Anolis sagrei: one gene and its partner. The protein of the gene in region 2 purifies or fractionates together with the protein of the main gene of each other region. This does not show direct contact. Links are inferred from orthologs where the notes say so. Each region holds a gene or a part of one and is shown on either strand. Other genes may lie near its edges.

What was found.
Region 1: the proteins of FBXO10 (region 2) and PDE6D purify together in Homo sapiens (affinity purification with mass spectrometry; 3 studies listed by BioGRID and IntAct, with this or other methods). This does not show direct contact. The link is inferred for Anolis sagrei from reciprocal best matches to the Homo sapiens genes FBXO10 and PDE6D.

The regions. Positions count from the first base shown.
Region 1 is NC_090023.1:266,471,987-266,479,336, forward strand, and holds the start of PDE6D (retinal rod rhodopsin-sensitive cGMP 3',5'-cyclic phosphodiesterase subunit delta), read left to right. Parts: upstream 1-4,338; 5' UTR 4,339-4,413; coding exon 4,414-4,472; intron 4,473-7,350. UniProt on the Homo sapiens protein: Promotes the release of prenylated target proteins from cellular membranes. Modulates the activity of prenylated or palmitoylated Ras family members by regulating their subcellular location.
Region 2 is NC_090022.1:152,323,450-152,331,075, forward strand, and holds the start of FBXO10 (F-box only protein 10), read left to right. Parts: upstream 1-4,554; 5' UTR 4,555-4,680; intron 4,681-7,626. UniProt on the Homo sapiens protein: Substrate-recognition component of the SCF (SKP1-CUL1-F-box protein)-type E3 ubiquitin ligase complex. Mediates the ubiquitination and degradation of BCL2, an antiapoptotic protein, thereby playing a role in apoptosis by controlling the stability of BCL2.

The DNA of each region.
Region 1 (7,350 bases), on a different chromosome or scaffold from region 2:
CTTTTGGGGTTTTTAGAGGGAATAGAAGCCATTTTGGGTTCAGTCCACACAGAGAAGCCTTTCACACAGGACATAAAACCAAGAGCTCCTGTAGAAAGCTTCGTCTTCTACGGCTTGGCCGGGGTTATATAGCCCTACATCTCCTTTGCTGAAGCACTTCAACCAGCCATCACTGGAACCTGAATTCTTTTTACCCTGGAAGTCTACAAAGCTCTGCTTGGTAAGGGTCACTCGCGGAAGCCAGAAGCAGTTGGTACCGGGTGCAGGGGCTCCACGCCAACAGAGGCAAAGACAGACTGCCCAGATTAGAAGTTAAGGATTTCCCCATTAGTTACAGTTATGAAGATAGTGCCTGTTCCCTGTGGACAAGATTGAGAGAGAGCCAATAGACCAGTAGTTCTCAACCTGGGGTCCCCAGATGTTTTTGGCCTACAGCTCCCAGAAATCCCAGTCAGTTTACCAGCTGTTAGGATTTCTGGGAGTTGAAGGCCAAAAACATCTGGGGACCCCAGGTTGAGAACCACTGCAATAGACTGTTAAGAAAGCCTTAAAGTACCTGTTTGTTTTCATTAATAAAGAACTTTGTTGAACCTTTAAGCAATCTAAAGACTCTGTTTTAAGGAAATCCAAGGGCCTTTAATCTGAGGCAGCCCGGGTGTCCCGTTGGGCACACGGAATTTATGTCCTGTCTACAGTCTTATGCACAGGCCTAGCGTGCAACAGCACAATGTTTATATGTATATATGGTTTATTTTGGGGGTTTTTAGGGTGTATATTGTATATTGGTGTATATGTATGTGTGTGTATATATGTATATTTGTGTGTGTTTGCGTGTATATATATATATGTATGTGTGTCTGTATGCATGTGTACATGTATATGAATGTATGTGTATATGTATATATGGTTTATTTTGGGGGGGGGGTTAGAGTGTATATGTATAGAAGTGTATATGTATGTGTGTGTATATGTGTATATTTGTGTCTGCTTGCATATATATATGTGTGTGTGTGTGTCTGTATGTATGTGTACATGTATATGAATGTATGTGTATATGTATATATGGTTTATTTTGGGTCTTTTTAGGGTGTATATGTATAGAGGTGTATATGTATGTGTGTGTATATATGTATATTTGTGCATGCTTGCATGTATATGTGTGTGTGTGTCTGTATGTATGTGTACATGTGTAAATGTATATGAATGTATGTGTATATGTATATATGGTTTATTTTGGGGGGGGGGGTTAAGGGTGTATATGTGTAGAGGTGTATATATATGTGTGTGTATGTGTATATTTGTGTGTGCTTCCGGGATATGTATATATGGTTTATTTTGGGTCTTTTTAGGGTGTATATGTATATAGGTGTATATGTGTATATTTGTGTCTGCTTGCATATATATGTGTGTGTGTCTGTATGTATGTGTACATGTATATGAATGTATGTGTATATGTTTATATGGTTTATTTGGGGTTTTTTTGGGGTTTTAGGGGTGATTGTCACTCTTTGGCCTGTTAGTTGTATTGTGTCCAAATTTGGTGCCAATTCGCCCAGTGTTTTTTGAGTTATGTTTATCCCACAAATGAATCTTATATAGAAATAATTATATATAAATAATAATTATATATAAATAACGAATCTTATATAGAAATAATTATATAAATAATTATAATATAATAATAAACGAATCTTATATAGAAATAATTATATATAAATAATTATAATATAATAATAAACAAATCTTATATAGAAATAATTATATATAAATAATAATTACATATAAATAACGAATCTTATATAGAAATATTATATAAATAATTATCATATAATAATAAACGAATCTTATATAGAAATAATTATATATAAATAATTATAATATATATAGGTGTGTATATGTGTGTGCATATATGTATATTTGTGTCTGCTTGTGTATATATATGTGTGTGTGTGTCTATATGTATGTGTACATGTATATGAATGTATGTGTATATGTATATATGGTTTATTTTGGGGGGGGTTAGGGTGTATATGTATAGAGGTGTATATGTATGTGTGTGTATATGTGTATATTTGTGTGTGCTTGCGTATATATATATATATATATGTGTGTCTGTATGCATGTGGACATGTGTACATGTATATGAATGTATGTGTATATGTATATATGGTTTATTTTGGGGGTTTTTTAGGGTGTATATGAATATTGGTGTATATGTATGTGTGTGTATATGTGTATATTTGTGTGTGCTTGCGTATATATATATATATGTATGTGTGTCTGTATGCATGTGGACATGTGTACATGTATATGAATGTATGTGTATATGTATATATGGTTTATTTTTGGGGGGGGTTAGGATGTATATGTATAGAGGTGTATATGTATGTCTGTGTATATATGTATATTTGTCCATGCTGGCATGTATATATGTGTGTGTGTCTGTATGTATGTGTGCATGTGTACATGTATATGAATGTATGTGTGTATGTATATATGGTTTAAATTGGGGGGGGTTGTGTGTTTTTAGGGGTGATTGTCACTCTTTGGACTGTTAGGTGTATTGTATCCAAATTTGGTGTCAATTCGCCCAGTGTTTTTTGAGTTATGTTTATCCCACAAACGAATCTTATATAGAAATAAGATTTCATTCATATCTCTTTCTCTAAAAGGTAACAACTTGTGAAAACGTACGTGTGAAAAAGATCTTGGAGTCCTTGTGGACAACAAGTTAAACATGAGCCAACAATGTGATGTGGCGGCAAAAAATGCCAATGGGATTTTGGCCTACATCAATAGGAGTCTAGTGTCTAGATCTAGGGAAGTCATGCTCCCCATGCTCTATTCTGCTCTGGTTAGACCACACCTGGAATATTGTGTCCAATTCTGGGCACCACAATTCAGGAAATCAGAAGACGCTTCCTTCTTGGGAGGAGAGCAATGTCCAATCTCGATAAAATAGTAAAGAGTAGAGACATCAGACTGGCAACAAAGATCCGCCTAGTCAAAGCCATGGTATTCCCTGTAGTGACCTACGGATGTGAGAGCTGGACCTTAGGGAAGGCTGAGCGAAGGAAGATCGATGCTTTTGAGCTGTGGTGTTGGAGGAAAGTTCTGAGAGTGCCTTGGACTGCGAGAAGATCCAACCAGTCCATCCTCCAGGAAATAAAGCCCGACTGCTCACTGGAGGGAAAGATACTAGAGACAAAGTTGAAGTACTTTGGTCACATCATGAGGAGACAGGAAAGCCTAGAGAAGACAATTATGCTGGGGAAAGTGGAAGGCAAAAGGAAGAGGGGCCGACCAAGGGCAAGATGGATGGATGGCATCCTTGAAGCGACTGGACTGACCTTGAGGGAGCTGGGGGTGGTAACGGCCGACAGGGAGCTCTGGCGTGGGCTGGTCCATGAGGTCACGAAGAGTCGGAGACGACTGAACGAATGAACAACAACAACAAATTGACAAGCTGGAATGTGTCCAGAGGAGGGCGACTAAAATGATCAAGGGTCTGGAGAACAAGCCCTATGAGGAGCGGCTTAACGAGCTGGGCATGTTTAGCCTGAAGAAGAGAAGGCTGAGAGGGGATATGATAGCAATGTATAAATATGTGAGAGGAAGCCACAGGGAAGAGGGAGCAAGCTTGTCTTCTGCTTCCCTGGAGACTAGGACGCAATGGAACAATGGCTTCAAACTACAAGAGAGGAGATTCCATCTGAACACGAGGAAGAACTTCCTGACTGTGAGAGCCGTTCAGCAGTGGAACTCTCTGCCCCGGAGTGTGGTGGAGGCCCCTTCTTTGGAAGCTTTTAAGCAGAGGCTGGATGGCCATCTGTCAGGGGTGATTTGAATGCAACATTCCTGCATCTTGACAGGGGGTTGGACTGGATGGCCCATGAGGTCTCTTCCAACTCTTTGATTCTATGATTCTATGATATATAAACCCTTTTTCCTAGTTCCAACAGACCTCCCTACCTCTGAGGATGCTTGCCATAGATGCAGGCGAAACGTCAGGAGAGAATGCCTCTAGAACATGGTCATATAGCCCCAAAAAACCTACAACAACCCATTCACCCAATCCTCCGTGCCCTGCTCTGTCCACCAGGGGGCGCTCTTCTCTACGCCTTCCTAGCATTGCCCATTTCGAGCCATAGCGTTCGCTTCTCGGTGGAGATTGTCCCGCGGCGAGACCCGTCAGCCCCTCACTCTCTCCTGCGGTTGCTGGGGCGTCTCTTCCTTAGCGACTGAGCCGGGGAAGGGAGCCTCCCTCGGATTGGCCGCCGGCGCTGCCTGTGTGGGGAAGCCCCGGCTGGGATTGGTCGAGCGGGGCGTAGTAGGCGGGGCGTGTTGTGTGGAGGGCTGGTTCCGCCGGCGTCGGGGCGTCCGAGGCGCCTCTCTCTCCGGCCCAGAGGAGCCATGTCCGGCCAGGAGGAGGAGGAGGAGCGCGCCAAGGAGATCCTCAGGGGCTTCAAGCTGTATCCCAGGGAAGGAAGGAAAGAAAGGAAAGAAAGCAAGCGGGGGAACGAGGAGGCCAGGGATGGAGGCCCAGCTCCTGCGGGTTTGCTCGGGGAATTACGGTACAGAAGCCTTGCTTGGGAGGGGAGAGGGAGGGGGATATGGGGGAATATGGGAGGCTACTTCAATAATAATAATAATAATAATAATAATAATGTTCTAGAGGCATTCTCTCCTGACGTTTCGCCTGCATCTATGGCAAGCATCCTCAGAGGTAGTGAGGTCTGTTGGAACTAGGAAAATGGGTTTATATATCTGTGGAATGACCAGGGTGGGACAAAGAACTCTTCTCTGCTGGAGCTAGGTGTGAATGTTTCAACTGACCACCTTCATTAGCATTAGAAGGCCTGGCTGAGCCTGGGGGAATCTTTTGTTGAGAGGCGATTAGATGTGCCTGATCGTTTACTCTCTGCTGTTTTGCTGTTGTAATTTTTGAGTTTTTTTTAATACTGGTAGCCAGATTTTGTTCATTTTCATGGTTTCCTCCTTTCTGTTGAAATTGTCCACATGCTTGTGTATTTCAATGGCTTCTCTGTGGAGTCTGACATGGTCCCAGCATTTCTGTGTTCTCAAATAATATGCTGTGTCCAGATCAGTTCCTCAGGTGCTCTGCTATGGCTGACTTCTCTGGTTGAAGGAGTCTGCAGTGCTTTTCATGTTCCTTGATTCGTGTTTGGGCAACGATGCTGCGTTTGGTGTTCCCTCTGTAGACTTGTCCACAGCTGCATGGTACACGGTGGACTCCTGCAGCGGTGAGAGGATCCCTCTTGTCCATTGCTGAACGAAGCATTTGTTGTATCTTCTTGGTGGGTCCGTAGGTTGTTTGTATGTTGTGTTTCCTCATCAGCTTCCCTCTGTGGTCAGTGGTTCCCTTGATGTATGGCAGGAACACTTTTCCTCTGGGTGGATCTTCATCTTGACTCTTGTGGCTTGTTCTGGGTCTTGCAGCTCTTCTGATGTCTGAGGTGGAGTCTCCATTGGCCTGGAGAGCCCAGTTGAGGTGGTTCCCCCAGGCTCAGCCAGGCCTTCTAATGCTAATGAAGGTGGTCAGTTGAAACATTCACACCTAGCTCCAGCAGAGAAGAGCTCTTTGTCCCACCCCAGTCATTCCACAGACATATAAACCCATTTTCCTATTTCCAACAGACCTCACTACCTCTGAGGATGCTTGCCATAGATGCAGGCGAAACGTCAGGAGAAAATGCCTCTAGAACATGGCCATATAGCCTGAAAAAACCCACAAGAACCTAGCAGAGTAAATAATAATAAACTATTGTATTCCTTTGTATACCTGACCTTTTTTCACGTGAGATCTAAAGCAGCTATAAATAAATATAATAATAATAAATGGCAGAGGAAATAACAATTTAAATGTATCAAATCCTGATCTCTTTCACATGAGATCAAAGGCGGATATAAATATAATAATAATAAAGGGCAGATATAATAATAATAATAATAATAATAATAATAATAAATAGCAGAGGAAATAATAATAAACTATCGTATTCCTTTGTATACCTGACCTTTTTTCACATGAGATCAAAGGCGGATATAAATAAATATAATAATAATAAATGGCAGAGGAAATAATAACAATTTAAACAAACTACCGTATTTCTTTGTATCAAAACCTGCCCTTTTTTCACGTGAGATCAAAGGTGGATATAATAATAATAATAATAATAATAATAATAATAATAAATGGCAGATACAAATATAATTATATGAACCACTAAGACAATTAAGATCTTCTGGTGGGGCCCTGCTCTCAATCCCACCACTTTCGCAATCGCATCTGGTGGGAATGAGAGACAGGGCCTTTTCTGTGGTGGCCCCTCGGCTATGGAATTCTCTCCCAATTGAGATCAGATATGCCCCCTCCCTCCTGTCCTTCAGGAGGCTGGTGAAATCTTGGCTATGGAAGGAAGCATTCCCAAAGTAATGGATGAAACCGGCTACAGAACAAAGTTATCGACCACACAAACGGACTGAGTTGGACATGATTTTATCTTGGCGATTTGGCTTATTTGTAATTTTAATCGATATGTATTTTAACTTGTTATTATATGATGTTTTTAGATAATACTATTAGCATTGAATCCTTGCTGTAAGCCGGTTTGAGTCAAGGAGGTGAGAAGATCGGGATATAAAAGTTTTAAATAAATAATAATAAATAATAAGAATAATAAATAGCAGAGGAAATAATAATAAACTACCGTATTCCTTTGTATCTAAGGTTCCCCATTTTTTTAACTTGAGATCAAAACTCAAGTGAAACTCACTTTTTTGCACTGGAGATCAATGGCAGACATAAATATAATGATTTTTTTTCATGTCAGGAGCGACTTGAGAAATTGCAAGTCGCTTCTGGTGTGAGAGAATTGACTGTCTGCAAGGACGGTGCCCAGGGGACGCCCAGGTGTTTTGATGTTTTAATGTTTTACCATCCTTGGGAGGTTTCTCTCATGTCCCCCATGGGGAGCTGGAACTGACAGAGGGAGCTCATCCGCGCTGTCCCCGGAGTTGAACTTCCAACCTTCCGGTCTTCAGTCCTGCCGGCTATATAATGATAATTATAATATATTATTATCACAGTATAATAATAATAATAAATGGCAGATATAAATATAATGACAATAATACATGGCAGATATAAATATAACGATAATAATAATACATGGCAGATATAAATATAATAACAGTAATAAATGGCAGATATAAATATATGATGATGATAATAAGTGACAGATATAAATATAATTACGATGATAATAATAAAAATGGCAGATATAAATATAATAACAATAAATGGCAGATATAAATATAATAACAATA
Region 2 (7,626 bases):
TTTTGTTGTTTACTAAGCTATTGCAAAAAAAAAAAAACCCATTAGGAACTGCCACAACAAAGACAAGAATCTGAAGATTGAAGATAGCTACATTGCACCTTTTGTTCTATTGCCTTCCACTGAGCATGTTTCACTTCTCTCAGGCCTGTTAAACTGGCTAAACCAGATTGTACTTCCAGCTGCAAAATGCTTTGGTAAAACACAAATGCAAAGATCTCCACACAAGTTTGAGCAGTCTCTGGGTTACAAACAAAATAGGTTCTGTACATTTGTTCTTAAGGTGAAGTTGTATGTAAGTCGGAACAGGTACATTTTCTAAGTGCAACTCCATATATATCTATTTCTATGAACACATATTTGGATAGCATATGAAAGGGTTAACACCCCTGTGTGTTTGTTTTACTGTCTCTACCCCTGTTCAGAAGATTTTACTTCAGTCTGTCCCTGTGACAAGTGCATGTTGGAAATTTTGGGTTGTCATGAAAACAAGGATTGGAGATAAAGCTTCAGTGGAGACACACTTTCCCCATGACAACTCTTCCAGGAGTGAATTTCCCTTCTGAGGGTAGATTTCCTCTCACTTCCCGTTGTCTCCTACTCCTTTGTAGTTATATACATTTATGCTCAAAAGTAAGAGCATTTACATGGATTTATGCTCAGGAACAAGTCTAACTGTATTCAGTAAGGTTTACTCCTAGGAAAAGAAGGCATAAGTTGTTGCTGTGTACCTTCAACTTGTTTCCAAGTTATGGAAACCCTGTCATGAGGTTTTCCTGGTAGGATTTGTACAGAAATGGTTTTCCATTGACTTCCTCTGAGGGTTTGTTTGTTTTGTTTTGTGTCAGGAGTGACTTGAGAAACTGCAAGCCACTTCTGGTGTGAGAGAATTGAACGTCTGCAAGGATGTTGTACAGGGAACACCCGGATGTTTTACCATCCTTGTGGGAGGCTTCTCTCATGTCCCCGCATGGGGAACTGGAGCTGACAGAGGGAGCTCATCTGCGCTCTCCCCAGATTCGAACCTCTGACCTGTCGGTCTTCAGTCCTGCCAGCACAAGGGTTTAACTCAATAGTTCTCAACCTTCCTAATGTCGCGACCCCTTAATACAGTTTCTCATGTTGTGGTGACCCCCAAGCATAAAATTATTTTCGTTGCTACTTCATAATTGTAATTTTGCTACTGTTATGAATTGTAATGTAAATATCTCCCATAACTGACAGTAAATACTGGAAGGGTTTGGTGGGCTTTGACCTTGAGTTTTGGAGTTGTAGTTGACCTACATCCAGTGAGCACTGTGGACTCAAACAATGATGGATCTGGACCAAATTTGGCACAAATACTCAATCTGCCTAAATGTGTACACTGGTGGAGTTTGAGGAAAATAGACCCGTGACATTTGGGAGATGTAGTTGTTGGGATTTATAGTTCATCTCCAATCAAAGCACATTCTCACAAATGATAGAATTGGGCCAAACTTCCCACACAGAACCCCCATGACCAACAGAAAATACTGTGTTTTTTTTTTATGGTTTTTGGCGACCTGTCTGACATCCCTTCACGACCCCTCCCCCCCAGGTTGAGAAACGCTGGTAACCCATTGAATCTTAATCCAATTCCCAAACCGCAAGAAACACTGTAACTTAAGTCTTTTTGACACTGCCATATTGTGCAGTTTGAAACTATGTTATATGGTCAGTATAAACTCATCTAATGCAGTTTAACTGTACAGAATTGCAGTTTCAAATGGCAATGCAGATAGGAATGAAGTAATACTGCCATCTGGTGGCTATGCCCCAGACTGCTATTCAGGAAATGAGTACTGTCTTTAGTGTTGACTGGTTAGATGTAGGAGTTGTCTTGTTACTATACAAATATTAGTCTCTACTGTCTCACTAGAGCAGAGGTCCTCAAATTTTTTAAACAGAGGGCCAGGTCACAGTCCCGCAAACTGTTGGAGGGCCAGATTATAATTTGAAAAAGAATGAATTCCTATGCACACTGCACATATCTTATTTGTAGTGCAAAAACCACTTCAAAACAATACAAAAAGTAAAATGAACAATTTTAACATGTATAAACTTATTAGTATTTCAATGGGAAGTGTGGGCCTGCTTTTGGCTGATGAGACAGGATTGTTGTTGTGTGCTTTCAAGTAATTTCAAACTTAGGATGACCCTGAGCGAGGGCCGGGTAAATGACCTTGGAGGGCCGTATCTGGCCCCTGGGCCTTAGTTTGAGGACCCCTGCTCTAGAGAAATATTGATTTTGCAATGCTCGGATTTTAGCTATGGGGGAAGAATAGATACTGAAAGTCCAAAGCAAGTTCCTTAATATCTCTGGTAAAAGGCTCTCTGCTACATTTTCTCTTGAAGGCGTAAGTTGTCTGGCTGAGTCATGAGCCTTATCAATTGCAAGTTGATAAGTTGACAGTGTTCTTTTCTTTGGAGGCCCAGTTACACCAGTTTTGAAAAGATTTATGTTGGCAAGTGACAAAGTCTTCTTTGTTTTGCAAAGCCTTTATCTTGATTTGAGAAGTTCATGACTGGTGGTGGATATTTTTAATTGGCTGCATGCTTTTTTTTTCTTTTTTTTCTTTTTTCTTTTTTTTTTTTTTTTGCCAAAGAGCCAACATGGGAGCCGACATGGTATAATGGCTTGAGCATTGAATTCAAACTCCAGCACTAAAGGGTTCGGATCACTACTTGACTGTGGAAGCCCACTAGGTAAGCTTGGACAAATAAATAGTAGATGGCATTTTGGTTTGGATATTTACAGTTTCGCAGACAAAACAAACCCAGTATTGGGTTGCGAGATCTGTTTCCACATGCAGTGAGCCCTCAAAATGAGGGCTCTAGAGTTTGATTCCAGGACCACCATGAGTTCCAAAATCAGTGGGTACTGAAGTCCCATCATATAAAATGACATAGTAAAATAGTATGCCTTATATAAAATGACAAAATCAAGGTTAGCTTTTGGGAATTTAATTTTTTGAAGCATTTTCAAGTTGTGTATGGTTGGATCCATTAATTCAAAATCACTGGATATGGAGGGCCAACTGTATCCAAAATACATCCCTTGGGCAACATCCTTGCTGACAGTCAATTCTCTCACACCAGAAGTGACTTGCAGTTTCTCAAGTCACTCCTGACATGAAAAAAAATCTGGGTGAAGTCCAAAAGGGGGCCTAGACGGAGAAGGATAGTCCATTTCCTTTGCAGATGCTCCAGTCCACTAGATTGAATGTCTATCTGTCGGGAATGCTTTGATTGTGCTTTTCCTGCATGGCAGAAGGGGTTTACACTGGATGGCCCTTTTGGGGGTCTTTTCCAACCATATGATTCTGATGTTCCAGTTCTCTCAGGGATGCTTTCCTTTGCAGATGGTCCAATCCTCTATACTGGATGGCCATCTGTCAAGAATGCTTTGATTGTGCTTTTCCTGCATGGCAGAAGGGGTTTGCACTGGATGGCCCTTTTGGGGGTCTCTTCCAACTCTATGATTCTATGATGCCCCAGTTTTCTTAGGAATGCTCTCCTTTGCAGATGGTCCAATCCACTAGATTGGGTGTCCAGCTGTCATGAATGTTTGATTGTGTGTTCCTACATGGCAGAAGGGATTTGCAATGGATGGCCCTTTTGGGGGTCTCTTCAACCATATGATTCTGATGTCCCAGTTCTCTCAGGGATGCTTTCCTTTGCAGATGATGCAATCCACTAGACTAGATGGCCATCTGTTAGTGGTGCTTTGATGGGGTGTGGCAACAGGCAGAAGAAGTTTGCACTGGATGGCCCTTGGGGTCTCTTCCAACTCTAGGGTTCCGATGTCCCAGTTCTCTCAAGAATGCTCTCCTTTGCAGATGATCCAATCCACTGGACTAGATGTCTATCTGTCAGGAATGCTTTGATGGTGTGTTCCTACATGGCAGAAGGGGGTTGTACTGGATGGCCTTTGTGGGTCCCTTTCACCTCTCTGATTCTGATTTCCCAGTTCTCTCAGGGATGCTTTCCTTTGCAGATGATCCAATCCACTAGACTGGATGTCCATCTGTCAGGAATGCTTTGATGGTGTGTTCCTACATGCACTGGGTGGCCTCTGTGGGTCTCTTCCAACTCTATGGTTCTGATGTCCCAGTTCTCTCAGGGATGCTTTCCTTTGCGGATGGTCCAATCCACTAGACTGGATGGTCATCTGTTGGTGGTGCTTTGATGGTGTGTTCCAACAGGCAGGGGTTTGCACTGGATGGCCCTTTTGGGGGTCTCTTCCAACTCTATGATTCTATGATGCCCCAGTTCTCTCAGGAATGCTTTCCTTTGCAGATGGTCCAGTCCACTAGACTGGATGTCCATCTGTCAGGAATGCTTTGATTGTGCCTTTCCTACATGGCAGAAGGGGTTTGCACTGGGTGGCCCTTGGGGTCCCTTCTAACTCTCGGGTTCTGTGAATCTCACTCCCTGGAATGCCCGGGCTCTCTTTTCTTCCTCCCTCTGTCCCTTTCTTTCCTTCCTTCCTCTCCTCCTGTTCTTCCTTCCCTGCTCTTTTCCTCCGCCTCTCTTCCCTTGGAAGCTCTCTATGACCCGGACGCCCGTGCGCGGTGGAGCTCGGGGGAGTGGCTCCTTTCCTCGGGTGTTTTCCTGCCTCCATCGTGGGGCCAGCCAGCGGATGGGATGCGGTGAGAGAAGGTAAGGGAAGAGGGGGATCCGGGCCCTTTTGGGGGGAGGGGGAAAGTTTGCCTTCTCAGCCCTCCCCCTTGGCTTTGAACAGGGACAGGAAAGGAGTGGGTGGGCTGCAGAGAGGGAGGGAGGGAGGGAGGGAGGGAGACCCACTTTGGGTGGGTGTCTTGACTGCTTGTGCTTGTGCTGCTTTAACTCCTCTTCTAGAAAATGTAGGTCCTGCAGCACACACACACACACATTCCCTGCTTTTGTTCCAGTCCTTTTGGCATTCCTGCTGAAGTCTTTCCTGATTTCAGGTGGGAAAGGATCCCTTGCAATCCCTGCCTTGCCTCTTTGTGTCTCAGAGCAGAAAGCACAGCCTAGGAGGAGATCAGGAAGATGCTTTCAGGGGCAGAGAACACAGTGCAAGAAGGGCAATTAATAGAATTAGAAGAGACCACAAAAGCCAACTCCATTCAGTTGTACACAAGGCTTTAGGAGTTTAGGTTCTGCGTGCTGAATTGGACCATAGTTTTCCAAACATTCCAGGTTGGTGACACACTTTCCAGGGATGCGTCGTTTCGTGACACCGTCATTCAATTTTACTCACAAAGTGGAGGTTAAACTAACTGCTTAGGCTCCTTCTACACAGCTGTATAAAATCCACATTGAACTGGATTATATGGCAGTGTGGATTCAGATAACTCAATTCAAATAATAATAATAATAATCATCATCTGACATGATATGAGGATTTAAAGATCGAACTGCAAAGACTCTGGCACAAGCCAGTCAAGGTGGTCCCAGTGGTGATCGGCACACTGGGTGCAGTGCCTAAAGACCTTGGTCTGCACTTAAACACAAGTGGCGCTGACAAGATTACCATCTGCCAACTGCAGAAGACCACCTTACTAGGATCTGCGCGCATCATTCACCAATATATCACACAGTCCTAGACACTTGGGAAGTGGCCGACGTGTGATCCAGTTCAACAGGTAGCAGAGTGATCCTAAGACACTGATGCTGTGGACTCATCTTGTTGTGTTTCAAATAATAATAATAATAATAATAATAATAATAATAATGACAGTGGTGATTGGCACACTGGGTGCAGTGCCTAAAGAACTCGGCCTGCACTTAAACACAATCAGCGCTGACAAGATTACCATCTGCCAGCTGCAGAAATGCCACCCTACTGGGATCTGCATGCATTATTCGCCGATACATCACACAGTCCTAGACACTTGGGAAGTGTCCAGTGTGTGATGCAATACAACAGCCAGCAGAGTGATCTTGTTTGCTGTGGATTCATCTTGTTGTGTTTCAAATAACAACAACAACAACAACGATGATGATGATGATGATGATGATAATAAACTTTATTTATACACCGGACCATCTCCCAACAAGGGACTCAGAGCAGCTTATCGTCATAAAAAATATAGCAGATAATTTAAAACAAAATAAATAACATGCCACATTTAAAACCATCACAAAATTAACACAACTGATGCATTTTGTGGATTATCTGCCTTGACATTCTGGGTTCTATGTCAGGGTGGAAGAGCCCCTTGAAGAGCTATGGACACATACACAAATGGTCATCATGAAATTATGAGGGCTCAATGTATCTCGAGAAAACCTTTCACACAAACACACACACACACACACACAATATGACTAGCGGTCCCCTGACACGCATTGTTGTGGCCCAATCTGGTGATCTGGAAAATAAAGTAATCAGAAAGTGTTGGTTTCTAATATATGTAATTTCTTTATGCTTGTGGTTAAACAGTGTTTCTTGTTGTTTGTAAGTGTTGATGTGGAGGTCTGGTTTGCCTACTCTGGAACATGCAACATATATATATGTCCTTCTTTAGGGGTCCCTTTCAGATCTATGATACTATCTGTGTGTGTGTGTGCGTGTGAATCATATATATCTATCTATATCTATGGCTGGATGGCTCTTTGTCAGGAGGGCTTTGATTACGTTTTCTTGCCCTGGTGAAGGGAGACGGACTGGATGGCCTTAAGTACTTTATGTTGGTCATGGGGGTTCTGTGTGAGAAGTTTAACCCAATACTGTTGTTGGTGGGGTTCAGAATGCTTTTTGATTGTAGGTGAACTACAAATCTCAGCAACTACAACTCCCAAATATCAAGGTCTATTTCCCCCAAACTCCATCTGTGTTCATATTTGGACATATGGAATATTCATGTCAATTTTGGTCCAGATCCATAATTGTTTGAGTCCGTAGTCTCAGACTGCTGCTGCTCCTGCCACAGGGGTCCTGAATCCTTCCATCCAGCTTGGCTGCCCTGGACCACTTGTGAGTAGGAGAAGCCCCAGGCCCTTTCCAACTGGGTGCGACTCAGCAATCCTCCAAGGAGGGAGTGACTATAAAGCTGTGTTGCACCTGCCTTGGCCTAGTCTCAGACTGCTGCTGCTCCTGCCACAGGGGTCCTGAATCCTTCCATCCAGCTTGGCTGCCCTGGACCACTTGTGAGTAGGAGAAGCCCCAGGCCCTTTCCAACTGGGTGCGACTCAGCAATCCTCCAAGGAGGGAGTGACTATAAAGCTGTGTTGCACCTGCCTTGGCCTAGTCTCAGACTGCTGCTGCTCCTGCCACAGGGGTCCTGAATCCTTCCACCCAGCTCGGCTGCCCTGGACCACTTGTGAGTAGGAGAAGCCCCAGGCCCTTTCCAACTGGGTGCGACTCAGCAATCCTCCAAGGAGGGAGTGACTATAAAGCTGTGTTGCACCTGCCTTGGCCTAGTCTCAGACTGCTGCTGCTCCTGCCACAGGGGTCCTGAATCCTTACATCCAGCTTGGCTGCCCTGGACTACTTGTGAGTAGGAGAAGCCCCAGGCCCTTTCCAACTGGGTGCGACTCAGCAATCCTCCAAGGAGGGAGTGACTATAAAGCTGTGTTGCACCTGCCTTGGCCTAGTCTCAGACTGCTGCTGCTCCTGCC